Linked DNA regions of Ovis aries. The protein of the gene in region 1 interacts with the protein of each later gene in a pairwise test. Links are inferred from orthologs where the notes say so. Each region holds a gene or a part of one and is shown in the gene's direction. Other genes may lie near its edges. The genes, in order: ADAMTSL4, FLNA, apolipoprotein L6, NATD1, PRKAB2, LMO2 and LONRF1.

Region 1 (4,166 bases):
TTCCCTGCCAGTTTACCCACCACCCAGTGAGCCTGAGTTTAAAGTCAGAAAGCAAAAAAAAAAAAGTCAGAAAGCAGGCCTGGGCACCTGGGACTCATCTGTTTGTTCTGTTTCATTCCAAATATTTCTATTAACTCTACAAATACAAAAACCAAAACAGAAATACAAAAGATGAAAAAACAGAGATGACACAAAGTGGCCTAAATGGTCCTTGTCTTGAGAAAACTTAGGGGTTTATTGAAATAATAATAAATCATAATAAAATTATAATTTTATAATATAAATTATATAACTTATAAATTATAATAAAATATAGATATTGAACTTCAAATAAGGATATAATACTTATACTTAAAAGCATTTTATGTTTTCACTTCCCTCATCTCTTGAGACAACATTTGCTTCTGTTGAGTCCAGTACTTACCTCCCAAGTCTGTCTCCAACTAGACCCAACTCCTTAAGGCCAGAGGCTGTTCTAACTGTGCCCTCCACACCAAGTGCAGAAAGTGCTCAATAAGTATTAGGTGGGAACACCTGATACCCTGCTACTGAATATCCTGGTTTTAAAATATTGACAAGTCACTGGAAAAAAATAAATAAATAAAACCTTTCAAATGCTTGAGAGTAGACCCAACAGTACATGACTGTAGTTCATGAAAAAATGGCAAATAAAACTTTTAAAATAGTGGTGACAAGAAAAATAATGACTTTATCTACTCTGTCATTTTACGTGTATTATTTATTTCTTTACCATAAAAAACAGATAATGCCTGTGGTTAAACATTCAAAAACATATAAGCATACAGAGTAAAAAAGTGAAAGCTTATATTTTTATTTTCCTCTCCCAACCCCTCCCCAGCTGCTGCCCCCAGTTCCGAGTTTGGGATGTATTCTTCCTGATCTAAGTAACTAGGCAGACATATCTCCAAGCCTATTCGTGTATGTCAGGTTAACCCCATTTTACAGATGAGGAAACTGCAGCACAGAAAGGTTGAAGCATTCATCCAAGATCACAGAGGGAGATTCAAATCCAGATCCTCTGATTCCTAAATCAGCGCATTCCTTGCGCTACGCCCCGTAGGTAACATTTATGGATGAAGAAACCGAGGCTTAGAGGGTCCCTGAGCAGTCAGAACCACATGGTTCACAGTCCAATTTAGGAGAAGCAGGGATAACTGGGCTTGCACGGGAGGCTGCGTGATGGAGAGGGCCCTGACCAACGTGGAATCGAGGTCAGGCTTGACCATCTCCCAGCCCAGCAACGCCCCAATGTGGGGCGCGGGGCTCGCCCACGCCGCTCGGGTACCGGCGCCACCAACCCCTTGGCGCCCCTCGCGGCCGCTCCGCCCGGGCTGGCGCAGCGCTCGCACCGCCCACTCAGAGCCGGTCGGGAGACCGCGGTCCCGGAGACCCGAGCCCCAGCCGGGTCGAGGGACAGCCCTGGCGCGATGGCTCCCTCGGAACCCGGCTGGGACCTCCTCGGCCTCGCCCCCTGGAGCGGTCGGCAGGTGCCGGGCGGGAGCGGCCAAGGCCCGCAGCCCAGGGTGGGTGGCCCTGGCGGGCTGGGGATTCGGGGGCCGCCGGGGGGCTGCCGCCGGGCGCGTGGCGGGCGGGCTGGCGGGGCGGGGCGGGGCGGGGCGGGGGCGGAGCCGCGGCCGGAGGCGGCCGTAGCCCGGCCCAGGGGCCGCAGTGGCTGCCGCGGAGCGAGGCTGCCTGGAGGGAGCGCCCGGGCGCAGAGGGGTTAGCTGGCCGCCGGGGCCGCGCAGAGCAGGTACAGATCTTCCCTGGGACCCCTGGCCCCGGTCGCCCTCTCTCCCCCGTCTGGTTAGACCATCCGCCCCACGCCGCCGCGCCGTCCGGGTTCTCCGAGCCCCGCGGTCGCGCCCCAGCCACGACCCCGGCCCCAGTTCTTATAGCCTCGGAAGATCTTCCAGTCCCTGGGGTCCAATTCCTGGGGAGGGGGCTCTGATCTCTTGGAACGCTGGCCCCATCACTCGGACGAAGAATCAGCCAAAATTCCTACACAGAATAAAACTGGAAAACACACCCAGGAGCTCCCGGCACGCGCCGGGCACCTCCTGCCCTTCCCCTCTGGAACGGTATTTCTGGATGATGCGTTCCTCCCCCATCCCCCCAACCCTGTCATCCGCTTCCGTCCTGGGTTGGGGGGCACAGACGCTGGGAGGGTTACAAGTGGGTGCCCCGAATCCAGCTCAGCCTGACGACTAGAAAGGCAGGACACCTGTTGGGTGGGCCTCCAGGACCCAGGAGTGGCACAAGGAGGACCAAGGAGTTCTCGCCCAAGACAAGGACTCTGCAGCCAGCCCTGGAGCCCTGGACCCACCCCCTGCCCCTCAGTGCCACTGTTCCCCAGAGGTAGGTCTCTTGGGGTTAGTGAAGCGGTTAGTTCTGCCCAGGTCACTCCTCCTTGATCTCCACTGGCCAGTGTGGAGTTGTGGCAGGGAGGAGCCCAGGTTTGTCTAGACCAGTGTCAGCCGGGCCCAAGAATGGCCAGTTCTGTCTGACCTCTCCTTTCTTCACTCTGGACAGTGAGGCTCACCAGATGAGAAACGGAAAACATGAAAAGACTGAAAACCACAAATGTGTATCTGTTTCTGCAGCGTTTGTGTGTGCCTGTGTGTGCATGTGTCGGCCCCCTGCCCAGCTATGCGGGGGGTGGGGTAGGACTTTTCCAGAGAGGGAGCCAGGCCTGGCCCTGGCCCCAGGAGCTCACGTCACCCCACCCCCCACCCCTCACTTCTCCAGGGAGCTGCCAAAGCCAAACCCAGCTCAGGACAGGATTATGTGTACTGGGTAGACCCATAGAGAGAGACAGCTAGACACAGGCCTGGGGTAGCAGAGAGAAGCAGAGGCAGAGGAAGTGGAGAGGGGACCCAGCAGCAAGAAGTGGCAGTGACCAGCCTCCCATCTCCTTCTCTTCAACCACCAGGAAGGGAGTCAGGCTGAAAGCTGAAGGTTTGGGTGGAATGTTGGCCCTTCTCTGGAGCCCCTACCCGCCTCCTCATCAGGGCGGAGTTGCTGACCTCAGTGGTCAGCCCAGCCAAGGGAAGGAGCAGCCATCAGCAACCCCCTTCACAACCCCAAGTAGCTGAGGAGACCGTTCGGGCACAGGCCCCGCCACTGTGATCCTTCTCAACATCCCAAGCGCTGGGGTCTCAGGGAGGTGAGGGGGAATGGATTTGCTACCTCCAAGCACATTCCTGCCCTTCCCTCTGTCATTTTCCTGCCCCTGAGCTGGCCCACCTCAGCATTAGCTCCTTGGATTCCTCTCCCGGGTGCCTTTCAGATCCAACAGAAACATTTTTTTTTTTTTCCTGGAAAGCAGAGCTCAGAGCAGCATGAAGAGTGGGGGTGGGAAGGGTTCATTGTGAAGGGACTGGAGGGCCAGGGGGAGCCATGGGAGAGCCAGGCTTAGACCAGGGGAGGGTTCCAAGCTCCACTTCTCCAGTGATCAAGCTGAGACTGCAGGATGGACTTCCTGGCTCTTCAGAAGATAGACCCATGAGTGACTGGGGACCAATAGCCTCTCTAGCTGTATCTCCCCTCCCCAGCTTCCCCCAGCCATCAGAGTCTTGCCTGAAGGAAGGCCTCATTGATCCAATGCCAGAGGCTGGCCCCTAGAGGGAAGTTAAATATCACTGGGGAAAATCACCTGCTTCTCTAGAGATAAACCATCAGCCCATTTAGTTTATCCCTTGGCTGCAAAGTTTGAGATAGGCACAGTTGTGTCAAGTGTTCCAGAAGGAGCTTATTAGGTAAGAAGGCAAGAAAAGGCTGAGAAGCAGGTGGGAATGGAAAGCCCAGGGGGCTTCCAGTCAGCAGCTCAGAGAGGATGTCTGAAAAGTCCTCACTGAACCTCCCTCCTCAACCCTCTTAAGAAAGATGCATGTGTCTGAGCTGGCCTAGAGACAGTCGCTGTTTAGGACACAGGAGCTGAGAAGTTCCTGAAGCTGAAGGAGGGGACTGCGCCTGAGCTGGGAGGCTGAGGGCAGACCTCCACCCCTTCAGCTTGGGTAGATGGACAAAGGCAGTGCTCCTTTTCCCTCTCACCTTTAGGATCATTAAGGGATGGACCAATCTTCACCCCTCCATTCTCACTCTGAGTTGTCCTTCTGAGAAGTCATCCCTCCCAATCCCCAGCTTTC
Region 2 (4,125 bases), on another chromosome or scaffold:
GAAACAGAGACCGAGGCCACTGCTAGGCGATCTCACCTGGGGTCAAGGTGGAGAGGTCATTGCCAACAAAGGCAGCAGTGGCTGCGGAGAGGCCTGGAGGGCAATCAGTGCCTTCCTGTTAGTGTGCAGCTGTAGATATCAAACTACGTTAGCAGGTGACAGCAGACTTCTCCTTTCTTCCCCCCTGTTCCTTCCTGCTTCTCCCCTTTTGCCTCCCTCCCTCCCTTCTTTTTGGAGAAGGAAATGGCAACCCACTCCAGTGTTCTTGCCTGGAGAATCCCAGGGACGGCGGAGCCTGGTGGGCTGCTGTCTATGGGGTCACACAGAATCAGACACGACTGAAGCGACTTAGCAGCAGCAGCAGCTCCCTTCTTTGCTTTTTCTCCTTTAATGAAGTAGAATAAAAGAAGAAAGATCAGAGTGCTTTTCAGGTGGTAAGGGACAGTCTCACTTCGTGGAACGTTTATTTCAGCCATTTGTGTCGATCTGCGTGTGTGCCTGCAAATATTGGCTCAGGATGTAAGATGCAGTTCTTTGTGGGGGTTGTGGGCACAGTGAGAAGACACTGCTTTGTGTGGCTTTCCCCGAGGAAGTGACATTTGAGCTGAATACGACGCTGTTAATACCAGGAAATGGGCACACAGAAGACGAAGAGGGAGCCTGGCAGTGCCAGGGTGTGGCTGTGCCCACCTAGTTCCCCAGACGCTTGGCTCCTCGGCTGCACCCCACTGTCCATGCCCAGGCCTCAGGACTGCAGCTAACTGTGCTGCTGAGAATTCAGTCCACTTCTGTTGCTTGCTTCCAGGCCAGGCCTGGCACTGGGCAGGGGCCAAACCCATGCCAGCCCGGGATGTTGTTTGGCTTGTCTTGGGGCTCAGGTCCCTGCCCCCGTGCAGACTTTCAGGTGGGAGGCTCTCAGTGCATACCTGCTAGAGCCTGTTGCACTTCCCCCTCCAAGGTAGAATCCAACTAGTCCGACCAGCCCCAGGCTTGGGGTAAAGGTAGGGGGGCGGCGCAAGACTGGGCAGCTCCCTGGAGGAGGTGGCCTTCGTTGCTGGGCCGAGACGCAGGCTCTGCAGACCCTCCGGGCCGCCCCTCCCCGTCAGCAGAGGGTGAGCTCATCTCAACGGGGGTAGGGGGGCGTCGCCGGCTGCCCAGGCGCCTGAGCTCACGGCGCGCCCCCGCGGGGCCCCCCCTCGAAACCCCCCCCCCGCCCCGCTCCTGGGTGATTTTTACCAATTAAGGCTTTCTCGTCGGGCCGAGTCGGGCCGGGTGCGGGGCGGGGGTGCGGCCAACAAGAAGGCGGGCGGCAGCGGCCCATTCGCGTGGAGGCGCCCGGCGCGCAGCAGACGCCAGCAGAGCCCCGAGGCGCCAGGCGCGGGCTCGAAGATCTGCCAGGCGCCACCCCGCGGCCGCCGGCCGCCCGCAGGGAGAGAAGGTGAGGCGTCCGCGGCGGGCACCGGGCGGAGCGGTTGGCGGGCACCGAGCAGAGTGGTCGGCGGGCAGCTCACGGAGTTGGTGGTGGGGTGCCCGGGGCCAGCTGCAAGCCGGGGTGTGGTGGTGCAGCCGCCTTCCCTGGTTTCCTGGGGAATCTGGGTCTGGCCCCGCAGTGTGAGAGCCCAACAGCCATGGGGGTGCCCTGGGAGGGTGAACTGGGGGGCAGGTCATTGCATGACTGTCCAGGAAGGCAGGGCTCTGAAGCAGGACGTTGTGTGGGGTCAGGGCGAGAGGCCACCTGGAAAGACACTTTGCAGCCAATATGCCCCCAGGAGGGATGTCGACGGTCGGTTCCTCCCTGACATCAGTGCTCTGGGCATTGGCTGCGTTGGGTAGAGGTGTGGGGCTGGCTTCTGGGCTGCTGCGCTCCACTGGGGCGAGGGCACATGGGGTTGGCCATGCTAGATTCGAGGCTGGGCCCTGTCCCAGGTTGGCTCTGAGCTGGATGTTCACTGCCAGGCAGGATGTGAAGGCCAGCCCCCCACCCCCACCCACCCCAATTCCTGGGCCAGGAGGAGTAGGTGACGGCCGCTGGGAGACCCACCTGCACGGGCTCCTAGCAGCGCAGTCAAGGTGGGAATTCAGCCCTGGAGCGTTGTCAGCCTGCCTGCCACACCTGGGCTTGGGCAGCCTCTCCTGCCACCCTGTGCCTCTCTTTCACCAGCCGTGGGAGGGCCTGGCTTGGGGTCTGAGGGAAGGAGTTGGGGTGGGAGGCGGGGTGTGTCTAACAACATCCAAGAAATCGACTCCAAATAAGGGAAAATATGAAAGAGCTGTATTTCAGCTTCCAGGGACTGCCCTATCTGGGGGCTTTGGGATGGGGCGCCACCTGGTGGTGATACTATGTCCCCTGGGGACAAGAACTCGTTAGAGCCCCATCTCTTATCACCCCCCAAATAGGGAAGAAGCCTAAGGCTGGCAGCCAGGGCTTCTGTCCCCCTTTCTGCTGGAGTTGGCTGCTGGTTACTGACGCTGACTCAGTTTCCCTGCTCTCTGCAGATTAAGAAAAGAACACAGATAATGCAACTGGATGGCACTTGTCAAGTGACAATGAACTCTCAGTATGATTCTCTCCTTGGGGGACTGGCTCTTCAGGGGGGCAGGGGATCAGAAGGATGGCTCTCATCTCTGCTTGGGTGGGGCCTGCTAGGGAGGAGTCTGCACGGGTCCCCCTCTACTGCTGTCACTCCCACCTCCATCCCAGTCCCCAGACACCATGGTGTGGAATTTTGCGCAGGTGTGTCTAAAGTGGTCAGGCCTTTAGACTGAAAAATGTCACTGGTGAGCAAAAACCAGTGTGGGGTACCAGGCAGCCCCAAAGAGAGCATGCTGGAGGCCAGGTGCTGACTGCAGCCCCACTGTGGGTGACACAGTCCCCAGGGCTGTGAGAGTTGGCCTTATTTGGGCATGCTGACCTAGGGGCTTCTTTCCCACTGGTCTTTAGCAGAGAACTGAGGTACTGCTAGTAGGAAGCTCGATCTAAGTACGAAGCAGGAGGGACAGAGACATGCCTTTCTGGGGGAAAAAAAAAAAAAGATGTGAAGAAGGGAACATCCTGCAGAGGGGAAGGACACAGGACCGAGGGAAGTGAGTCCACTCTGGGGACGAAGCCACCAGTAGGCTGGCTTCTCCAGACTGAAGAAGGTGGCAGTGACTGTCCCTGACAGGCCTCTTGCTTCTGTGCCTTTGTTGGTCTTAGTATCCCCCCCATAGTCTCCAGTTATCTACAAGAAAATGTATTTTGAGCGAATAGGTCCCCAGTACCCAGTCCTGGCTCCACGGCAGGCCCCAGCTGCCTTTCATGGTTTGCCCCCCCTCAGTCCCCTGGCCCCCCTGTCCGGGAGGCCTCCTCTGTTCTCCCACGACCCCGAAGCCCACTGAGACCCAGGTGCTCAGAGTGCATTATCGGAAGCCCGGGGCAGGTCCCTCTGGCAGCCTCCTGGGTCACGCTGGGCTCAGGGGCCATCCCAGCCACGGAGGGGAAGCCCCTCGCGCCTCTGGTAGACTGCCGGTGGGTGAGGCAGGCTTACCCGCCATCTCTGCATGCATCGCATCACAGGGCACCCCGTGCCAGTGCCCATTGGCATGCCCAGGCCCCTTCCAAGGCTGCTGGCTCCTGGAGCGCCGGTGGCCTCCTGGCCCAGTGCCCCATTTCCTCTGGGGTGCAGGGGGGAGGGAGGGAGGCGGTTGGGACCGGCGGGCGCAGGCCAGGATCCTGCAGAGCGGGAAGGCTTGCTGGGGCAGGGGTTCTGGGGTTCTGGGGTTCTGGGGGTCTGGGGGGCGGCTTAGGGTCGTGCGGCTACGGCCTTCCCTGGCGTGGCGCACGCACGCCCGGCGCGGGCAGCAGAGCCTTCTCCAGACCCGCGCTCTCCAAGGGCTCGCCCCTTCGGATCGGGCCCTTTCTCTCGGCTGCCGGCGAGGCGGCTGGCTGTGGCGCGGCCAGGGACCCCCGAGCGCCGGAGGTTGGGGGGGAGGGGGCGGCGGGGACCGAGCGGAGTCCACGTGACTCACGGAGGGCGAGCCACCCCCCGCAGGGGCCTTGGGGAAGGAAAGTCCCTTGTATGGTGTGCCCGCTGCAGGCCAAGCGGTCCCCCGCTCTAGACGTTGCTCAGCCTTTCATCGCTGCAG
Region 3 (3,976 bases), on another chromosome or scaffold:
CATGAGAACCCCAGGGGCGGTCCAAACACAACATGGATTATTGTACACTGAGACCGGGGCTTCCCTGGTGGCTCAATGGTAAAGAATCATGCAGGGAACCAGGGTTTGGTCCCTGGTCGGGAAAAGCCTGCACGCTGTGTGGCAGTTAAGCCCATGAACCACAACTGCAGAGCCGGTGCTCTAGAGCCTGGGAGCCGCAACTGCGGAAGCCCATGTGCCTGGAGCCCGTGCTCCTCAACAAGAGGAGCCGCTGCGACGAGCCACTCATGCACCCCAGCTAGAGAGGAGCCCCGCTCGCCAGACGAGGGAAAAGCCCACAGAGCAGTGAAGGCCAGCACAGCTGAAACCAAATAAACGAATAAATACAGTTATATATATAGATAGCCCTGAGATCAGCCCCAAACACCCTCCTTGTTCAAACATTAGGTTTATTTCTGCAGGGAAACAATATTCAAGAGAAGGTGGATGCATCAAAACTATACACTTGTTCCAGCTTGGGTCATTTTACCACCAAATGAACCATGAAAAAACGTTTCTGTTTTCCAGAGCCTTTTGCGTTTCACAGTCACAGAAAAGAGGCCTTCGACTTTGGGGTCAACCCCCTCCTCGGAGGGCAGGTGAGCGCTCTCATGGCAGGGCCGTGGACGCATTTGTTAGGTGTTGGTTCCATGCTGGGCGTTGCCTCATTTGCTCCGGGGCTCCTCACAGTGGCTCTCTGCCACAAGGGCTGTTTTACTAAATACCCATTTCACAGACGGGGAATCAAGGCCAAGGGCAGTTGAGAAAGCAGCTCACAGTGACACAGCTCCAGATGGTCTGCTTGACTTCAGAGTCCTTGCAGGGCGTAAGCACCCTCACTCTGCTCTTGGAACAGCTGGGACCAGGAGAGGTGAGACTGGACCTGACAGATTCAGATAGCTCCTTCATTGCACATCTCCTAGAGAAAGAAGCAGAAAGGAAAGTAAAAGTGCAACCATTGCTCAATAAGCTCCGGGGAGGTCTCCCCCACCGCACGCCCGCCCCCCCCCCCCCACCCCCCCCCAGAGCTGCTTTGGCATTGACACTTCTGTGCTTGCCTCACTGAACTTGCATCCAGTTTTGCAATCAGAGCCTCGGGTCTTTCCCATGATGAGCAAGACCAGCTGGAGACTGCTCTGTGTGTTTGCCCTCCTGCAGCCTAGACGCTCACAGCCCTCCGCTGGATCTGAGACCCCTGGAGGGGAGACGAAGGCAGGCCCTTGGGACCTGAGGCCACGGTGAGTGCTTCATTGAGAGCAGGTGGGCCAGGAGACCCAGGAGGAGGGCTGCTCTGCGGCCTCACTTCTAAAGGACAATGGGCCCAAGAGGTTGCCCCTGCAGTTGGTTTGGGAGAAAGAGTTACTGTCAGGAACCCCCATGCTGTTCAAATCCCCATCCGGCCAGCTCCTAGTGTCAGCTCCGGTCTGAAATTCAGTTTCTTTACTTGATAAATTGGGATAGAAATCTCTCCCTCAGAGGTCATTTGAAGTTTAAATAAAAACATGATTAAGCATGTGATTAGACCAACCAAACTGCATCTTCCCCTCCATTGGCTGGGGACCCCTGGATCGTAGACAGAGAGAGACCTGGACCCCAGAACACAAGCGACATCACGGGCCAAGGCATTTCCCTAGCTGTTCTTTACAAGAGTGGTTTAGGAGTATCATCTTTATAGGAAAAGATGCCAGATGAATTGTCTCAAAATTGCCACCTGCAATGTTTCTTGTGTTGTATGCTTATTTAGGGAGTTTGAGGGGCAGGAGTTGGTGATAAAGATTAAGGGGATTATCTCAAAGCTGTGTTCCAGAGTATCCAACTTCTCTGACATCAATGGTGTATATGAGGGAATTGGTTTGAGGGGAAGGGACAGAATACGGCAGAGCTGAAGGCTCCCCAAACAACAAAGAAAGTCTCATACATATCAGCTCTCATATGAAAATGACTTCTCTAATCCTCGCCCATCATTTCCATCCCTCTCCCAACATAACATCCTCTGACATCTCCCGAGAGAAGGTCAGTAGTGAGAGGATGGGACCTGGTGGGACCAAAGGGCTCCCTGCTGTCACTTTAGCTCTTCATTTAGTAGGAATAATAGGGGAAATGGGGGAGCTTTCAGGAGCTGCTGGGAAAGGCTGGGGCTCCTCCAGGGTTTCTCAGCCTCAGCACCGCTGACAGCTTGGACTGGACCGTTCTTTGCTGTGGGGCCGTCCTGTGCACTGTAGGGTGTTTAGCAGCATCTCCGACCTCTACCCACTAGGTGCCAGGAGCAGTGTCCCCTGACGCCCACCACTGAATGTCTATGGGCGTCACCACTATCCCCCGGGGAGAAAGCTCATCCCTGATGGAGATCCACTGCTCGAGACCTAACTGGAATCACACGGGGCTCCTCCACTTCCCAAGTGCTTGACATTTGCTTTGTAGCGTATTTCTAGCATTATTTATTTGGGGCTGTGCTGGGTCTTCATTGCTTCGAGAGCTCTAGCTGCGGCTAATGGGGCCTTCTCACTGCAGTGACTTCTCTTGTTGCGGAGCACAGACTCTAGGGTGTGTGGGCTTCAGAAGTTGCAGTTCCCAGGCTCTGGAGCACAGGCTCAGTAGTTGTGGCACACGGCCTTAGCTGCTCCCTAGCAGGAGGGATCTTCCCCGATCAGGGACTGAACTAGTGTTTACCGTATTGGCAGGCAGGTTCTTTACCACTGAGCCATCAGGGAAGCCCTCTCATTTTTTGAAGCTACTGAATGTTTTTAAAACCATGACAACATGAAAGAATTTCACAGACATTGTGTTGGGAGAAAGAAACCAAAGAACTGATGCCATTGACGTGAAAATCAAGACCAGGCAAACAAATGAAAGGTTATAGAAATCAGTGTAGTGATCACCCGTGTGGTGGGGTGCATGTTGGCTGGGTTTGGGTTAAGGAAACCGTCTGTCCTTTATCTCGATCTGGGTGGTGATGACTTGGATGTGTGACGTCAAAATGTATGAAGCTGAGGACTTTGTTTTGTGTACTTATCCTATAGAAGCTCACCTCAACATATAATGTAAAAACAACAGTTTTCAAATATTTAGTCCTTTATGTCTTATTATTATTTGGATTTCGCATCATCTAAAATCCCTCCACACTTGAGTTTCTTTTTTGAAGTTTTAAAAATCTTTTTGTCCATAACTCACAGCAGGTGGGATCTTAGTTCCCCGATCAGGATTGAACCTGTGTCCCCTGCATTGGAAGTGTGGACGGAAACTTAATCACTGGACTGCCAAGGAAGTCCCCACACTTGAATTTCATACGATTTCATGGAACTTGTTTTCTGTGTCTTCACCCAGAAAATCCTTTGAGTCGTGGTGACAGCTCTCATTCTCCCATGGACAAAATGAGCATGGATTTGGTGCCACAGAACCTGCTGGACAGGTAGGCAGGGAAAGCCTGCAAGACTGGTGTCAGTTTGCAAAGGTAATCCAGAGCCCTGTGTCCCTGGGGAAAGGGCGACTTCTGCAGAAATGCTTAGGCATTCTCACGACATGTGACAAATGTGTTCCAGGAGAACAGCCATGAATGAGACCTGCCTTCTCACTGGTCATTATGTATGTGAAGATATGTCCCTGGGAGAAAAATATTCCATGGTTTACACTATTTTGGAGCACAAGTCAAGTTCTTGTTAGGTACCTGACCCTGGGCAACAGGACTCCGAGGGCAGAAACTGCCCCCTTGGACGTCACTTCTGTGAGGTTGATGTATCACCAAAAAAGCCCTTTAACATTGCCTCATTCATGAATTTAAGCTCCAGCATGCATTCATCAGCAGACATAGCATCGTCAGCCCCACATAGGCCATCAGCCAATGTCTCCTGAGGGAATTAGGTGAGCTACACATGTGTAACAGAATTAGATTGTAGTTCTGTGTCAGGAGGCATTGCTGCCTAACATAGGATGCGTGCATACTCAGTCATTCAGTCCTGTC
Region 4 (3,974 bases), on another chromosome or scaffold:
GGGGGGAGGTGTTGTCCAGTCCTCTTTCAAAAATGTAGTCTGTTCCCCACTCACCCACCCAGAGTCCTGTGTGTCCTCAAGCAAGTCCCTGGCCCTCTTGGGACTCAATCCCCCCACCCCCACCACCCAGTGAGTGGGTCCAGGGATCTCCAAGGAGCTTCCCACATTTGTTTCTGGGGTTAGAGGTGGCCTTTCACCAGATCGCAAGCCAGGCTTCTCGGGACAATCGTTCCAGCGGTGTGTGACCCTCGCAGGTCTTCCCCAGGCGCCTGTGTCAAGCGCACCTACTTCTCGGCTTCATGAGCGCTTTCTGCAGCTTCCGGGGCTTTGCTGCGCGCAGGCACACAGCAACCACTGAGTAAATGGTGGCTGCGAGGGGACGGTTAGAACTGCCCTATAGGTCGAAACGTGTGTTTGAGACGGGGTCCTTGGGGGGTCCCCCAGAGTCTCCTGCAGGTCGGGGCCAGAGGCCCAAAGGCCCCAGCACAGAGCTGTGCGCGGCGCTGCGCCTTTAAGAGGCGAACGGAATGTATCAAAACAGAGCGGCTGCGCGCCCACTGGTCGCGCGCCGCACGTGACCGCACAGCTGATTTCCTGCTCCCCCCTTTTTGTTGCTGCGGCCGCCGCCGAGTGTCAATTTCCGCGCCGCCGCCTGCGGTCGCCCCCAGTGCGGCTCCGCGCGCTGCCCCCCGAGCCCGCCGCGCGCCCCTGGCCCGGGTCCGAGCGCCCATGGCGCAGTCGCCGGCAGCAGCGTCGCCGGGCGCGCCGGAGCAAGGCTGCCCCATCCGCGTGGAGCACGACCGTCGGCGTCGCCAGTTCACCGTCCGGCTCAACGGTAACGCCGGGCCCGCCCGCCCCCGCCTTTTGTCTGCGCGCCGCAGGGCCGGGGGCGCACTCGCGGGCCAGGTGGGGGCGGGCGCCCAGGGCGGCGCGAGCCCGGGAGCGGCGGAGGCAGGCGCCGGGCGGCTCCGGTCCCGCCTCGGCCCGGGGGAACCCGCACCTGCTTGGCCCGGCTGTTTTCCGGGATCCTGCCGAGGTCCCGGGGAGAGGGTGTCCCGCCATTTCCCCATTCCCGGTGTTGAGTGGCTTCTGGCTGCCTCTGCGAATCTTCGCTTCTTTGCTCGGAGGGGGCTGGAAGACCCTGCTAGACCGACCGGGGGCTGACGGATGGAGGGGCTTCGGCCCGTCAGGGGCGGGGCGGGGCGGGTACGGGGAGGGACGTTGTCTCCTTCAGACCCCGGCGGCTTTGGGGCTTGGCCAACTTGCCTCATCTCTGTGCGCCCGTTTCTCGCCTCTACAGTGGGATTAACTCCTGGCTGGTGGGAAGAATTGGATGCCCCAGTAAGAGTGAGGTTCAGAACAGCGCCTGCGGCAGGTAGTCAGTGCTGGAGGACTTTACTGATTTTTTTTTTTTTTTTTTTTTTTGCTGGCAGGGTCTTAGTTGTGGCATGCGAACTCTTAGTCGCGGCAATTTTGATTTTTTAGTTGGGGCCTGTAGGATCTAGTTCCTTGACCAACCGGGCGCCTTGCATTGGGCTCTCACTGGACCACCAGGGAAGTAATTGGGCATTACTTCTTAAACCAGAAGCGAAGTCAAGCCCTTCACCGCTTCCTAGTCCACGCCCCCTCCGCCTGATTGAGAAATGGAGGGTTGAATTCCTGGCATCCCACCCCTCTCTGTTAATAACTTTTTCCTCCCTCCCAGCTGGGCCTTCTGTGGTAGTGCCCAAGCTGGATGGGCCCGTATGGGCCACTGTGCCCTTGTCTGAGGAGGGAAGGGCGAGGCTTCCTGAGGTCAGGCAATGGGGGGAGGGGCAGAACTCGAATAGGGTCTTGTCTGGGCGGACTCCTCCCACCTGCGCTTGGAGGTTCTGTCGGAGCTGGGACTTCACCTTCTCAGACCCCATTTGGCTGTGCTCGGCTTCGAACCCGGCCCCAACACACGTCTGTTACAACCTACTCGTGACGTGGCCGTCACCACCCTGTGTTCAGAGGAGTAAGCTGAGGCCCCCGCAGGCCAGAACTCAAACACGTTTTCCTTCCTCTTCTCCGATATAGTGCCCACCCTGGCGCACCTGGCCGTGACTCTCAGGGCTCCCCTGCTACTCTCATTCCAAGAGGCCCCCTGGCTTTTCAAGGCTCCTGAGAGGCCTCTGATTTCCTTGTGGGTGTTCAGGAGACCCTCAACACTCAGAGAAAGAAGAAAAAGGGGACTTTTGGGGGTGTTCCTTCTTTTTTTCCCTAATGAGTACAGCCATTAGGGACATCCTCTTGAGTTGGCTGGGGTCAGGACTGGATGAGCCCAGCTGCCTTTGTAAACTTGTCCTGTCTGTCGCCTCCTGCTCAGATGGCTGACTCTAAAGTGGACCAGGATCCTTGGCCAAGTTCTCACCAGTCTACAAGACTGGGCTGTGTATCCAGGCTTGAAATGGTCTGGGTGTGTACAGGGGTGGGCCGAGGGCTCCTCTGTGCCCAGGCCCCAACCCTGCCTCAGCTGAGGAAGGGAATGGCCTGCCATGGTTTCAGCCAGGCCCTGGAAGCCAGCTCACTGTGCCCAGTGAGAGAGGTGGACACTGAGGCTGAGAGGTGGAGCAGCCCTGTGGCTCTTAGCACAGGTGTGTGCCAGCCATCCCCTGGCAGAGCTAGGCTGGTGAGTCCCCAGCAAGTTCCAGGTCTGGGGAGGAAAGAGCAGCTGTGTGCATTCAGTCCTTGGGTTTCCGGCTTGCCCCTCGCACTGGAGTCACTTACTTTATCCTCAGCATTGCGGGCGGTGTTGGTGGAGGGGCTGCTCTGCCCATTTTACAGAGGAGGAGACTGAGGCTAGGATAGGAGACTGACCAACATGCCTGCAGTCTTGCACCTTGGAGATAGAAGAACTAGGATTCATGCCACAAGTGCTTCTTGAGAGCTTACCATGTGCCACACATTATTGTAAGTGCTGGGGGCTCAGCCATCTGAGGGTCAGTGGACAATAAAGCATAGACCATCCTGAAGAACAAGACCTGTGAGAAATAAGGTTGGGGTGTTGGGAAGATGCCGGTGCTTTTTGTTTGTTTTTTTGGCCACACTGCATGGCATGTGGGATCTCAGTTCCCCAACCAGGGATCAAACCCTGCCCTCTGCAGTGGAAGCATAGAGTCTTAACCACTGGACCACCAGGCAAGTCCCAAGGGCTGTTGTTTAGAGTCAGGTGTCCAGGAGGACCACCCAAGAAGGAGGCAAAGAAGGGAGCTACGGTGGCAAGAGTGCTCCTTGTGGAGGGGGCGGCAAGTGCAAAGGCCCTGGGGTGCCTGATGTGTCCTGGGAGAAACAGAGCCAGGCCACAGGACAGAGGGCATCAAGAGGCATGGAGGCAGGTGGTGCGGGGCTGTGGCAGGCATTATGAGAACTTGGCCTTGACTCTGGGTGAGATGGGTGCCTGGGAGGGTTCTGAGCAGTGGGTGGATCAGATGTCATGGGCTCCCTCAGGCTGCCTGGGGGCAGGCAGTGTGAGCAGATGGGGAGAAAGCCCAGTTCCTCGGTGCTTGCTGAAGGAAGCGTGGATGGGGTGCTGACATGGGGTGTGAGAGGACATGGGTGCTCAGGCTTTTGTCTGACTGCCCGATCCAGGGCCTGAAATGCTGGGGTGACACGTGGGCTAACCTCAAATAATGAGGACCCAGCCCTGGGGGACTCTAGGGGAGGTGCCAGGAAGAGGGAGCAGCTGGCTGAGGCAGGTGGCCCTGAGGGCCGCGGGGAGGCCGCTGAGCTGAGGATGGGCGGGGTCTGACTCTGCTTCCATGGGGGGTGCAGGGGCCAGTGGACATGTGAACAGTGGTCAGATTCCAGACAGATATTGAAAGTTCTGCCCATGGGCCTGCCGAAGGCTCAGACTGGCATCTGAGAGATGTGCGAGAAGGACCCCAAGCACCTTGGCCTGGCTTGTTCGTGGCCGTGTCTCCAGCTCCCGAGAAGTGCCACGGACGGGCTCAGTG
Region 5 (3,542 bases), about 2.4 Mb from region 1:
CTGTCAAATGAGTTCATTGCTTTGAGAAAATGGAGATCAAGTTTTTCTCTTAAGTCACTTCCTTATATAATGTGAAAGTTCCTTCAGTTCTCATTGTTTACTAAGGATTTTGTTGCCACTAACGTCTTATACTGTAGTTTTGAGGAATATTCAGAGACAGTATGGAAGGTTGACTGCCTCAGCCATTTTGAAAGTAAAGCGCAAGTGAATAGTCTTTTTTTTTTATCCCACATTATTTTATTTGGTATTAATAATATTTTGGCTTGATACCATAAAGACTTATTTACCAAAGTCATTTAAGCCACTCTAAAGTGTGGGTCAACAAGCTTTTTCTGTAAAGGGCCAGATAGTAAATATTTTAGACTTTGTGGTAGACCATACAGTCTCTGTCACTGATATTCAGTTCTGCCATTGCAGCATGAAAGCAGCTATAGAAAATGAGAAAGTGAATGAGTGTGGCTATTTTCCAATGAAACTTATAAAAGCATCTGGCTCACTGGCCATAGTTTGCCAGTTTCTGTTCTAAAGGATGGTAATGAAAATAAACTTGACTAAGGAGTCAGTTTTCTTCTGCAACCCTACATACCTCATTTGATATGGGAACCACTTTTTTAAAGGAAACTGTGTTTTTGATCCGATGCTTCTTGTAGCTCCACAATTTTCATCCCTACTCCTGAAAATTACTAGTATAAGCCTGACATGGATGAATAAGTAAGATTTCATAACTATTTCTCAAAATTTAGGAAACCAGTGATCTGATTTTTATGTATTTAATGTCTTTTTATAACCTATTAACTAAAGAGGAAATTATGAATTATTTAAGAATTTTAGTATCTCTAATTTCTATTACAACTGATAATTGAGATGCTTATATTTACATATGAAAAATACATGGCTCAGGACTTCCTTGGTGGTCCAGTGATTAAAACTCTGTGCTTCCGCTGCAGGGGTGAGGGTTTGAATCCTTGGTTGGGGAACTAAGATCCTGCATGCTGCATGGCACAGCAAAAGAAAAAAAATAGATGACTAACTTAATTATTTTTTGTAGAACTGTGCTTTATTTTGATATTTTTCTCTTAAGAGATAAGCATATCATGATTGTCTGCCTATGAGTTAATCTGGTGACAGGAAGTAAGATTTTTTGTTTGTTTGTATTTTAAGGGACATCCCAAGACTCTGAAAGGATGAGTGATTCATGCAGACTCAGAAATTAAGCTGTGATTTGGGCAGACTTTGGGCATAAGCCATTTGACCATTTGGGTCCTAGATGAGTTTCTTTTCTATAGTTTTGTTCAAAATTTGAAGTAGTTGCTCATTTCAAGACTTATTAATCCTTATCAGAAATGTAGCACCCCTCTCTGCCCTAAGGAGGAGAGTGACCTTTTCAGAATTCCAGGGACACAATTTAGGGATGACCTAATCCTTCTTACAGCTCCCTGGGGACAAAGAGTTTGTATCATGGCAGCAGGATTTGGAGGACTCCGTAAAGCCCACACAGCAGGCCCGGCCCACTGTTATCCGCTGGTCTGAAGGAGGCAAGGAGGTCTTCATCTCTGGGTCCTTCAACAATTGGAGCACCAAGATTCCACTGATTAAGAGGTGAAGACAAGTGTCTTGGTTGAGTCTGCTGGGTCCAGGAGTAGAGACCCAATTCCCTTTCTCAGGAGAGAGACTTGGCTGGACTACTCCTCTCCACCTGCTAGGGACTTTCTCTAGAACATTTTTTGTGACCAGTAACTATATCTGTGACATTTTTTTTAACCTTATAGTGAGTCAGAGATGTTTTACCACTTAGAATGTCATTGCCTCAGAGGGACTTCCAACAGTTTTGGAGGTATGTTCTTTAGGATTGTGTTAATAGAAGTCCTTTCTATGCTTGTGGGAAGTCTCCCGTAACTGCCTGAGTCCAGTTGCCCTGACTTCTGCACTAAAACAAAACACGTTGTAAAGTTCTAGGTAGTAATGTTATTTGTTGCTTGCAGAGCAACAATGAGTTATGTAACTGACTATGGCCCTTTGTATATAGGTAATTTTCTAGAAAATGCTCACCAAAATGTGGAAAGAGTACCTTGAGGCACTTCATATCCTGAACCTACTTGCTATCTTTTTTACACTCCTGAGGGATCTGTTCTGCTGAAGCAAAATAGTTGTACTAAAGTGAAACATTCTGGGGGATTAATATCTTTATTGTTCTTTTTCAGATATTAGTTAAAAATTAAAGTTGTTAGGAGGGATAGCAAATACATGCTCAAGGGGATATAGAAAAGGAGAATGGGTTTATAAATTATTTTTCACTCCAGGGGGTGCAATCACTTAGGAATGTGGGAGATCACTGGTATGATACTGTGATTGCCTCATGGTTTTACATTTATCTTCTGTCTTCTAATAAGAATTTAGCCTGTTTAACTTTCTGTTTTCTTCTGTAGCCATAATGACTTTGTTGCCATCCTGGACCTCCCTGAGGGAGAGCACCAGTACAAGTTTTTTGTGGATGGACAGTGGGTTCACGATCCATCAGAGGTAAGACCTTGACCTCCGAGGGTAACCACTGGCTTAACAGTCTCCTTTTAGCTGTTATTCCGCTGGGTGTCAGATATCATTGCTGTTGGATTTCCCTGTTGATAAAAGATGGTGGTGTCAAGTATAATCTCTTCTAAAAAGAGGAGAGTTGAATGGATGAGATGTATTTGAAATGGGGATTCATGAATTTTTTTTTTTTTCCATTCACTGTTTCAGCCTGTGGTTACCAGTCAGCTTGGCACAATTAACAATTTGATTCATGTCAAGAAATCTGATTTTGAGGTGTTTGATGCTTTAAAGCTAGATTCAATGGAAAGCTCAGAGACATCTTGTCGAGGTAATTTTGTAGTATTTGCTCTTTCTTGATCTTTCCTTTCTTAAAATGCATGTTTCTTCCCAAGAGTGGTTTTTGTTTTTTTCATTTTCGACTTAGGAATCTTCCAAATTGTATGTATGTTTCTCCTGTAAACATTTAGGTCATATTCTCAGAGAATGAAATCTGTGTAATGTGTTTGATTTCACAGTAAGTGAAAGTAAATATATTTGATCTACATTAAATTTACATTGTAACCCAACACACACATCACACAAACCAGTAACATGTCTTGCACTATGATGTTTGCCTTTATTACATGTGAAGCACTTTATTTTCTACTTTATTCTTCTTTTTATAAACGACTAATGTGCTGTGATCTATAGTTTAAAAAGCTATTTCTAATAATATTTCAGTTTTTTCATTGACCTTTGACAGTATCAACTAGCAGGAGCTACTTATGTCTCCTGTGCCATGTTTAGCTGCCTCAACTTAATCCCGCCAGATTGATAGCTTAGTTGGCAGTTGTATATTTAATAGGCCCTACCCATATGGCAGTCTTTGGGGAAAAAAGAGTTATAAAAACCTCAAATTTCTTTTGTGTATATGTTAACTGAAATTTTTAAAGTTTTGGGTTAAAAAAAAAAAATCCTCAATAGAGGAATAGATCTCTATGCTTTTGTTTCTCCCAGTATTTTTTCCAAGGCCT
Region 6 (4,103 bases), on another chromosome or scaffold:
AGGGTGATTTCATCCAGACCCTTCAGTGCCATCTTTAAAAAGGGAATACAGTGTCCATGACCATGATCTAGACTGCTCCTATAAAACCATGGATCCTGAGAATACTGGTAGTTTCTTCTTTACAAGACTTGTGGCACGCTCAAGTAGGCCTTTAGTAATAATTTCTGAATGCAATTATTTTCAGGGATCTCTGATGAGGCCCAAGGGACCTAAAGCTTTGCTCTATTGAAGAGAAGACTTTTAGCTTCCTCCTCTCCCGTTCTACATTCGCCTCTCTTCTTGGAGTTTGCCCTTGAGATTAGATGGGGAAGCCTGAACCAAACAAGTCTGCGTTCTCTCTCTTTTCCTGACCCAGGGCAAAATAGTCTCCAAGCATTGCTCTCCATCATTGGAGAGGCACTTTTCTCTGTGAAGAGTGCTATTGGCCCTTTACGGGGCCAGTTTAACTGTAGGGGTCCGATTTTTAAAGATGCTGAGGGAGGGAATTCTGCCGCCGGCAGATGGAGAGGAGACTCAGACCAGCTTGGTCCCTCCCAAACACCCTCCCTCGGGATTAGCTGCCCCTGGTGCTGCTGAGGCGTACCCAGCCCGTGCGGTCCCTGCTCGCACAGCTCCCGTCGTCTTTTTGGAGCGCGGACGCAGTCACAAGTCCTCAGCCAGCAGAGCCGCGCTGTCTTGGGGGCATCTCCGCGTTCCCTGGCCGCGGACCTGGGACCTCCAACCCCGGACGCGCGCGAAAGCCACTTGGAACGCGTACATCTCTGTATGTGTTTATTTCACATTTTCGTTTTTTCTTTCTTCCTTGAGCGGCCCGCTGGTCACTTTCAATCTTAGTTAACCAAAAGGGGAACGCCGAAGAGGGAAAGCCCTAAAGAATGCTTCACAGGCAACCCAGCCGCCTCTCCAAGGAGAGGTGGTCTCTGAGCGAGTCTCCCTTGTCCCCGACGCTGGCCCCTTTAAGAAGCCAACTCAGTCTTGCTGCGGCTGCCGCTGTTTGTATCGCTAATCCCCAGGAGCCCCGTTTAAAAAAAAAGGGAAGAAAAAAGATGGTGGTGGCGGGGGGGACCGGGCAGCTGTCTCTTTAAATGTGATTTCCTTCTATTGTATTTGAATCGTGATCAGGAAAAAGGAAATGAAACCAGAGACAGAGGGAAGCTGAGCGAAAATAGACCTTCCCGAGAGAGGAGGGAGCCGGGGGAGAGAGGCGCGGTCCCCTCCCCGCCCCCAGGCCGCCGCCCCCTCCCTGCCCTCGGCGGCGAGCTGCGCGCCGCGACCCCGGCTGAAGGTGCGAGGGGCGCGGGGCGGCCGGGCGGGCGCGCACCATCCCCGCGGGCGGCGCGGAGCCGGCGACAGCGCGCGAGCCGAGCCAGACCCGGCGGCGGCGGCGGCGGCGGCGGCGGCAGTGGCGGCGGGACCGGGATGGAAGGTTAAGTCCTGAGCAGCAGTAGCAGCTGCAGCCGCCCGGGGCCAGGCTGCGCGCCCCGGTCCCCTCCTCGGCCGCGGCGCGCCGGCAGCCCGGTGATTCGCTCTCTCTCTTTGGCGTTTGAAGGGAGCGCGGTGACTGTCCTTGAGCGCGGAGGGGCGAGCTCGCCGCCAGAGCGCCGGAGCAAGAAGAGGCGCAGGAGCGGCGGCGGCGGCGGCGGCGCCCGAGCACCCGAGGGGGTCCGAGCCCCGGCAGCCGGCCAGCCCCGCGCCACAAAGGGAGCGCCCCCGCCGCCTGGCACGCCACCTCCCTCCCCAATGTCCTCGGCCATCGAGAGGAAGAGCCTGGACCCATCTGAGTAAGTGTGACGCCCCTGCCACCGAGGGTCCACGGCCTCGCGACCCGGAGCGGCGGGGTGGGGCGGGCGGCCGGCGGGAAGGCTCCAGGTGCGCGCCCGCGGCGTGCCCTTGGTTCCCTCTGCCGTGCGCGGGGCTCCCGCATCCTCTTGGGTGACCCCGGGGACACTGGGAGAGGGGCTGGTGGCGGGCGGCAGGAATGCGGTCGGCCCGGCGCCTCAGCGGGCCCCTCGCGGCTCCCTGGGACGCTCCCTAAAGCCACTTCGGGCCAGAAAGTTTGCACAGGAGCATGCACAAGGGGAGGTCAGAGGCGCGCCGGTGCAGTCCCGAGAGCCTTCAGGACTCGATTCTGCTCCCTTTTCCCCTCTCGTTCCTTCTCTTTGTCCGTTTGGTCCTGGAAAGGGGGACACTACAAGTGGAGCCCCCCACCCCGGGTCCCCGACGGTCCCCTTCCGGGTCCGCAGGTGGAGCGGTTGCCCACGGCGCCGGGGACCCACGGGTGAGGAGGTGCGAGAGTTCACCTCGGAGCTCACCCAGGCCTCCAGAGACTTTAGAGCAGCCGAGCAACACGGGAGTTAGTCTGGATACGCGGACACGCCTCTCCCCTCGGAGTCCACCGATGGGTACCTTTGAACCTCCAAAGTTAGTGCACCATTTTGGATATAGGTGAATTTTTCCGGAGAGCGGAGTCTTAAACGGCTTTTGTCACAATCTCAAAGGGTTTAGGGTCTGGGAAACAGAGCTCTAAATGAACCGCATTTGTTTTCTGAGCCCATTGCTCAGTGTTAACATGGGGAGAGAGGGATGTTTAAGATGTCATTTTCCCGTCAGCGCAAATGCCCTTTTAAGATTCATTAGCTGTCTGGTTTTGAGAATTTTTATTCCTTTGAAGTCCCCATCTAAATCCTTTGAAGGGATTTGTTACACAGACCAAAGGAGCTGGTTAATGACTTGTCCATTTGTGCTTTTAAGAGGCATTTGTTTTGTTTTGTTTTCTTTTCCTGCTTTAAAAGAATTGTGCTTTCCTGATTGAAATACCTCCTCCTCCCAATTTCAGCCTCCTATGGTGTTTATATACCTGGGTTTTACCAGCATAAAAGCTCAGCGTGTTCTCATAAAACACAGGAAGTAACCATGATCCAGTGAGAATATAAACATCACTATTCAATCTTGAAGGTTCAGAAGCCAGATCTACAAGGAGTCAGGTTTGTTCTAACAAAAACCCAGCTTCCTTAAATTCTCAGGGAAAAAAATAACATTGCTTTTTTTTTTTTTTTTTAAGTATTTGTTTAGGAAAACTCTGGGAAGGGTGCTTTGCTCACTTTTTTTTTTTTTTTTTTTTTACAAACCTAGAATGATAACTTAGCCCTGAGTTTTCAGAGCCTGGGCAAGATGATAGTAATACAATAAGAGAGTGCATTGGATGAATTACCTTTGAAAGGTGCCTAATGCCTTTTCGATCAATAGAACTTAGTCACTAATCTTTTTATTAGAAGATAAATCTGGAGGTTTCAGTTCCCTGAAGGAAGGTTGCTCCTTTCAAAGTTTGTGCTTTTTCACAAAGAGACTGGAAAATTGAAACATGTTCACCTCATAACACAGCAGGCATCTGCGGAAGGATGCTCAGTAGGGTGCTCTTCTCTATCCTTTGCTTCACTATTTGCCCAGTGAAGATAGGCTTTAATTGGAGATGGACCAGCTAGCTGAGAAATTATTGCAGAACATTTTTCCCCCATATCTTTCTTGGAAACTGTTGAGAAATTATCCCAGAAATCCAGGCCAAAGTGTATTGAGGTGTAATGTTCAGATAGGCTCTAGGAGAATGTAAAATATTAATTAGAGGGTGAGTCCCACAGTTATTGGCTTGGAACCTCCACCAAAGATAATGTGATATTATCTTTAATTATAGAAAGATAGAGCCAATATCTTATTCAGTCCTTTCCTATCTCATATTAGGCCATCACAGACAGTAGCTTTTTGGCTTAACATTTCCTCCTGTGGACCACTACCCTACCAGATGCTTCAGTGAGTACATACTTGGGTCAGTGTGACTGAGGTCAGTCTGATCAGCAACTCCAAATTACACCCAGAAACTTGCCTAGGCCTATGCAAATGAAACATTTAGACAGAAAGACAGCCAGAATTCACACACACACAGATTTCCTCTACTGTGCCGTCGGTGGCCCCTCCTGCCTCCCTGTGAATAACAGGAGCAGTTCATTTCAATTCCAGGCAGTTTTGCACCAGCTAAGTGCAAATTCTCTTCTTTCACAGTTGGTTGGCAGGATCTGCGTCAGGGCATCCAGTGGTGTTGAGGTTCCATG
Region 7 (3,542 bases), on another chromosome or scaffold:
AGAGTAAAGGAAGCTATTAAGGAGTTTTATTATAGTTTTTGTTTTGTTTGCCCAGGACGGTGGGTGGTAAGGTCTTTATGCCCTTCCCACAACGAATGCTGTATTTTATAAGCATACATTTTGGAAGCCTTTAAAGATGAATAATAGCTTTAAAAAGAAGAGTCAAGTTAATGTCATCTGTAGATAATTGAAAATTGATTTCTGGCTTACACTTCAGTTTCAGAATCCATGTACCTGTAGTAATTTTTTTTTTTACCTTTTTTTATTGGAATATAATTGCTTTACAGTGTTGTGTTTCTGCTATACACTGAAGTGAAGCAGCTATAAGTATACAAAATCCTTTCCTTCTTGGGTCTGCCTCCAGCCCTCAGGTCATTAAAGGGCACTGAGCTGAGTTCCCTGCGCCGCTCCGCAGGTTCCCACACGCAGTTTCACGCATGGCAGTGTATCTATGTCCATCCTGACCTCTCAGTTTGTCCCACCCTCCCTGTCTCTCCTCTGGCGCCCATGTGTCCATCCTCTGCATCTGAGTCTGTAGGAAATAGGCTCATCTGTAGCATCTTCCTAGATCCCACGTGACCTGTAGGAATTGATTGTAGTACCATCAGTGAACCAGCTAAGCGTCTGAAGTTTTAGTGCCTTTGGATACGAGTTCGGTTTCTCAAGTAGAGACAGAGAGCATAGTGAAATTATCACCTAAAGCTTTTTACCCTCAAATATTTGAAAGTAAGTCATTCTGGGGCCATCCAATCCTGTTCTTATTAATGGCAGGAATTTAAAAAATTTTCCCTCTTAAGAAACCTGACTCTTGTCAACCCATTTCCTCCAGAAACAGGACCACCGTGTCCTCTCATAAGATCGTGCCTCGGTCAGTCTTTGTAACTATGGGAATTCTGTGTGCAGTAGTTAACACATGTAGTCATTTATAAAGATTTCAAAATCAGATATAAAAAAAGGTTTACCACAAAAAGACAAATCTTCTAAACATCTGAGATACATCTTCTAAATCTTTGCCTATGTTAGGAAAACATTCAGTTTCTTAGGGGTGATCATATTATCAAAATATTTTCAGTTTTTTAAAAAAAAATCAGTTTCCTCCACTAAAATAATCTAACCATAAGGATTTGCTGTAAGTTAGAGAAATGTCAGTATGCCAGTGGGTTGCACCTGTACTGTGCTTGGCTCACTGCCTTTGCGTCAGTGGTTATTGACTAGAATCGCTGAGTCAGTTCTTACTTTAGTATGTTTCTGTGGATTATACAGTAATCTTTTAAAAATAATCAAGCCTTCATAACATTGATTTCAGAGCCCAGCGACTTGACTCTGAAAATCTACAGAGCTGAATCGTATGCTGGCCTCCAGGAGTTTAAAGCAGCCATAGAAGATTTAAATGCAGTTCTCTTTCAGCTGCCAAATTGGCCTGAGGTAAAATTACTGTTTTACATTTGCATGCATTTAAGAAGTTCAACTGTAGGGAATATGCATTTCAATTATGATTGTAAGTCACAACGAAATGGATTGGGCGATTTCTTTTAAATATATGGAATAGTTCTAGAAGTCTGAGGTCAATATTTTGAGTGGATGAATATCATCTGACAGTTTTTTAGACTATAAGAAACATTTGTTTCTTAACTAGAGAACAACTTGACTTCGTGGCACAGGACAAAAAAAAAAAAGAATTTAATATACAGCATTTCCTCAAAGATGTACTATTGTGGAGATGGACCCAAAGAAGTTATCAGTGGAGGAGGTTTATTAAAGGAGAGAGAAGAGCTTCTGTGGCTGAACAGCTGACTGAGGCATTGTGACGGGAACTGGGTGATGAGGCAGTCGTTCAGTACGGTAGATGGGGGCCTTGCCCATGGTCTTTTGAAAAAAGATTTGCAGCATGTATGTATTATATAATCGGTTTACGAATTCTCCATTTTACCAATACTGTCAAGGCAAATCAATCCATCTCCCATGTATGTTATTTAAGTTAAAAATCATCTTTTAATGTGACTTTTTTTTCTGCATTCAAAGCTATGCCTTTGAGGACTGTATAGTAAGGATGCTCTAAAATTTATAAATTAATAAAGAAAATGATTCAGAATCTCATGATGACATGATCAGTTGGTACAAGTCAAATCAGTGTTAAGAATACGAGGGAAAATGATTTGTACAGACAGCTTTGGTGGCAGCAGTGGTTTAGTCGCTAAGTCATGTCTGACTCTTGCGAGACCCCATGGGCTGTAGCCCACCAGGCTCCTCTGTCCGTGCGATTCTCCAGGCAAGAATACTGGAGTGGGTTGCCATGCACTTCTACAGGGGATCTTCCCAACCCGAGGATCGAACCCAGGTCTCCTGCGTTGCAGAACTCTTTTGCCAACTGAGCCACCAGGGAAGCTCTTAAAACCATTAAACAGGAAAGAATCCTCTGGACTTACCATTGGTGGGATATAATTAGAAATGTGGCTTTGGAGTCATTTTCTGGACCTCATAATCATAGGTGCCTATCCCGGGTAGGATGTAAATGTGCCTGTAAAATGCTTTGGGCTCCTGAGAGTCATTCAGAGTTTCAAAATGAACATTTCCAAGCAGAACTTTTATTTTTAACCTTACGTGATATTGATGTTTCAAAAAACAATTCCATCCATAAAAGTTGGGTATGTGTGCTTTTATTGAAGGTGTACTTCAGGAAAGGAAAAGTCCTCCACGATGCTGGTTTTTTAGGTGATGCCTTACAACTGTTTCTTCAGTGCTTAGCGCTCGATGAAGATTTCGCACCTGCAAAGCTAGAAGTAGAAAAGGTAATCCGTTTAACAACTCTTAACACTTCCAGCCAGTTTCCCGACAACACAGGTCTTTTTGCAAACGCCCGCTAGACTTTTGGGGTAAGGACATAAGGGGTGTCCATAAGTCAGATTTAGTAGCAGTTTGATGAGGGGTTTTCAGGTTCAGTATGCTTATTAGCATATTGAGTTCTTACCCAAATCAGAACATTTCAGAGAGAGTTAAATGCATTACTTTCGCCTAGTTAAATTTAGATGTTCTCTAATAGTCTGTTCCATGGGAGCCAGACCAGTCATTCCTAATTAAACATTGTTGTCATGATGTTCCTGCTCAGGAATTTTTATTGGCTTCCTTTGCCTTTCATTTCAGGTCTCAACTTTGCTTGCTTTCCGTGGTTGCCAATAGTACTGCCCCACTCAATTTATTTTGCCTTAATTTTCTCAGTACTCCATACATCACTTTCCAGAGTTTGTTCAGTGGTAGGTGTTAATTAAAAGGAAAAGGGGTTCTCTGATCAAATGACTCTGGGAAACACTGGGTTAAACCAATCAAACAGATTTCTTCAGCCCCTCTCAAGAGTTTTTGCTTTGCTAGCATGACAACAGCATTCAGCTTTTGCCAGATTTACTCACAGAACATCTGGGAAGACTAGAGTCTCTGAAAAATGTTCTGGGAAAATCTATCCTAATAAAATTTCAGTGCCCAGTCATGTTGTTTCCTTCAGTGTCCCCCAAAGAGGCCACAGCGTTAATTGCGTTTTTAGTGTTGCT

What was found.
Region 2: the proteins of ADAMTSL4 (region 1) and FLNA interact in binary tests that used the Homo sapiens proteins (3 or more experiments, as listed by UniProt). The link is inferred for Ovis aries from reciprocal best matches to the Homo sapiens genes ADAMTSL4 and FLNA.
Region 3: the proteins of ADAMTSL4 (region 1) and apolipoprotein L6 interact in binary tests that used the Homo sapiens proteins (3 or more experiments, as listed by UniProt). The two-hybrid records come from large-scale screens. The link is inferred for Ovis aries from reciprocal best matches to the Homo sapiens genes ADAMTSL4 and APOL6.
Region 4: the proteins of ADAMTSL4 (region 1) and NATD1 interact in binary tests that used the Homo sapiens proteins (3 or more experiments, as listed by UniProt). The two-hybrid records come from large-scale screens. The link is inferred for Ovis aries from reciprocal best matches to the Homo sapiens genes ADAMTSL4 and NATD1.
Region 5: the proteins of ADAMTSL4 (region 1) and PRKAB2 interact in binary tests that used the Homo sapiens proteins (3 or more experiments, as listed by UniProt). The link is inferred for Ovis aries from reciprocal best matches to the Homo sapiens genes ADAMTSL4 and PRKAB2.
Region 6: the proteins of ADAMTSL4 (region 1) and LMO2 interact in binary tests that used the Homo sapiens proteins (3 or more experiments, as listed by UniProt). The two-hybrid records come from large-scale screens. The link is inferred for Ovis aries from reciprocal best matches to the Homo sapiens genes ADAMTSL4 and LMO2.
Region 7: the proteins of ADAMTSL4 (region 1) and LONRF1 interact in binary tests that used the Homo sapiens proteins (3 or more experiments, as listed by UniProt). The two-hybrid records come from large-scale screens. The link is inferred for Ovis aries from reciprocal best matches to the Homo sapiens genes ADAMTSL4 and LONRF1.

What each region holds. Positions count from the first base shown.
Region 1 is NC_056054.1:100,567,503-100,571,668, forward strand, and holds the start of ADAMTSL4 (ADAMTS-like protein 4), read left to right. Parts: upstream 1-1,359; 5' UTR 1,360-1,544; intron 1,545-1,688; exon of another isoform or gene 1,689-1,771; intron 1,772-2,261; exon of another isoform or gene 2,262-2,376; intron 2,377-2,950; exon of another isoform or gene 2,951-3,184; intron 3,185-4,077; 5' UTR 4,078-4,166. UniProt on the Homo sapiens protein: Positive regulation of apoptosis. May facilitate FBN1 microfibril biogenesis.
Region 2 is NC_056080.1:80,076,516-80,080,640, forward strand, and holds the start of FLNA (filamin-A), read left to right. Parts: upstream 1-1,323; 5' UTR 1,324-1,438; intron 1,439-4,125. UniProt on the Homo sapiens protein: Promotes orthogonal branching of actin filaments and links actin filaments to membrane glycoproteins. Anchors various transmembrane proteins to the actin cytoskeleton and serves as a scaffold for a wide range of cytoplasmic signaling proteins.
Region 3 is NC_056056.1:179,478,485-179,482,460, forward strand, and holds the start of apolipoprotein L6, read left to right. Parts: upstream 1-1,156; 5' UTR 1,157-1,256; intron 1,257-3,342; 5' UTR 3,343-3,380; coding exon 3,381-3,427; intron 3,428-3,976. UniProt on the Homo sapiens protein: May affect the movement of lipids in the cytoplasm or allow the binding of lipids to organelles.
Region 4 is NC_056064.1:34,974,232-34,978,205, reverse strand, and holds the start of NATD1 (protein NATD1), read left to right. Parts: upstream 1-1,152; 5' UTR 1,153-1,167; coding exon 1,168-1,375; intron 1,376-3,974.
Region 5 is NC_056054.1:98,147,471-98,151,012, reverse strand, and holds part of PRKAB2 (5'-AMP-activated protein kinase subunit beta-2), read left to right. Parts: intron 1-1,432; coding exon 1,433-1,599; intron 1,600-2,426; coding exon 2,427-2,520; intron 2,521-2,736; coding exon 2,737-2,857; intron 2,858-3,542. UniProt on the Homo sapiens protein: Non-catalytic subunit of AMP-activated protein kinase (AMPK), an energy sensor protein kinase that plays a key role in regulating cellular energy metabolism.
Region 6 is NC_056068.1:63,296,636-63,300,738, reverse strand, and holds the start of LMO2 (rhombotin-2), read left to right. Parts: upstream 1-1,277; 5' UTR 1,278-1,419; coding exon 1,420-1,426; intron 1,427-1,549; coding exon 1,550-1,781; intron 1,782-4,103. UniProt on the Homo sapiens protein: Acts with TAL1/SCL to regulate red blood cell development. Also acts with LDB1 to maintain erythroid precursors in an immature state.
Region 7 is NC_056079.1:23,417,109-23,420,650, forward strand, and holds part of LONRF1 (LON peptidase N-terminal domain and RING finger protein 1), read left to right. Parts: intron 1-1,306; coding exon 1,307-1,425; intron 1,426-2,666; coding exon 2,667-2,789; intron 2,790-3,542.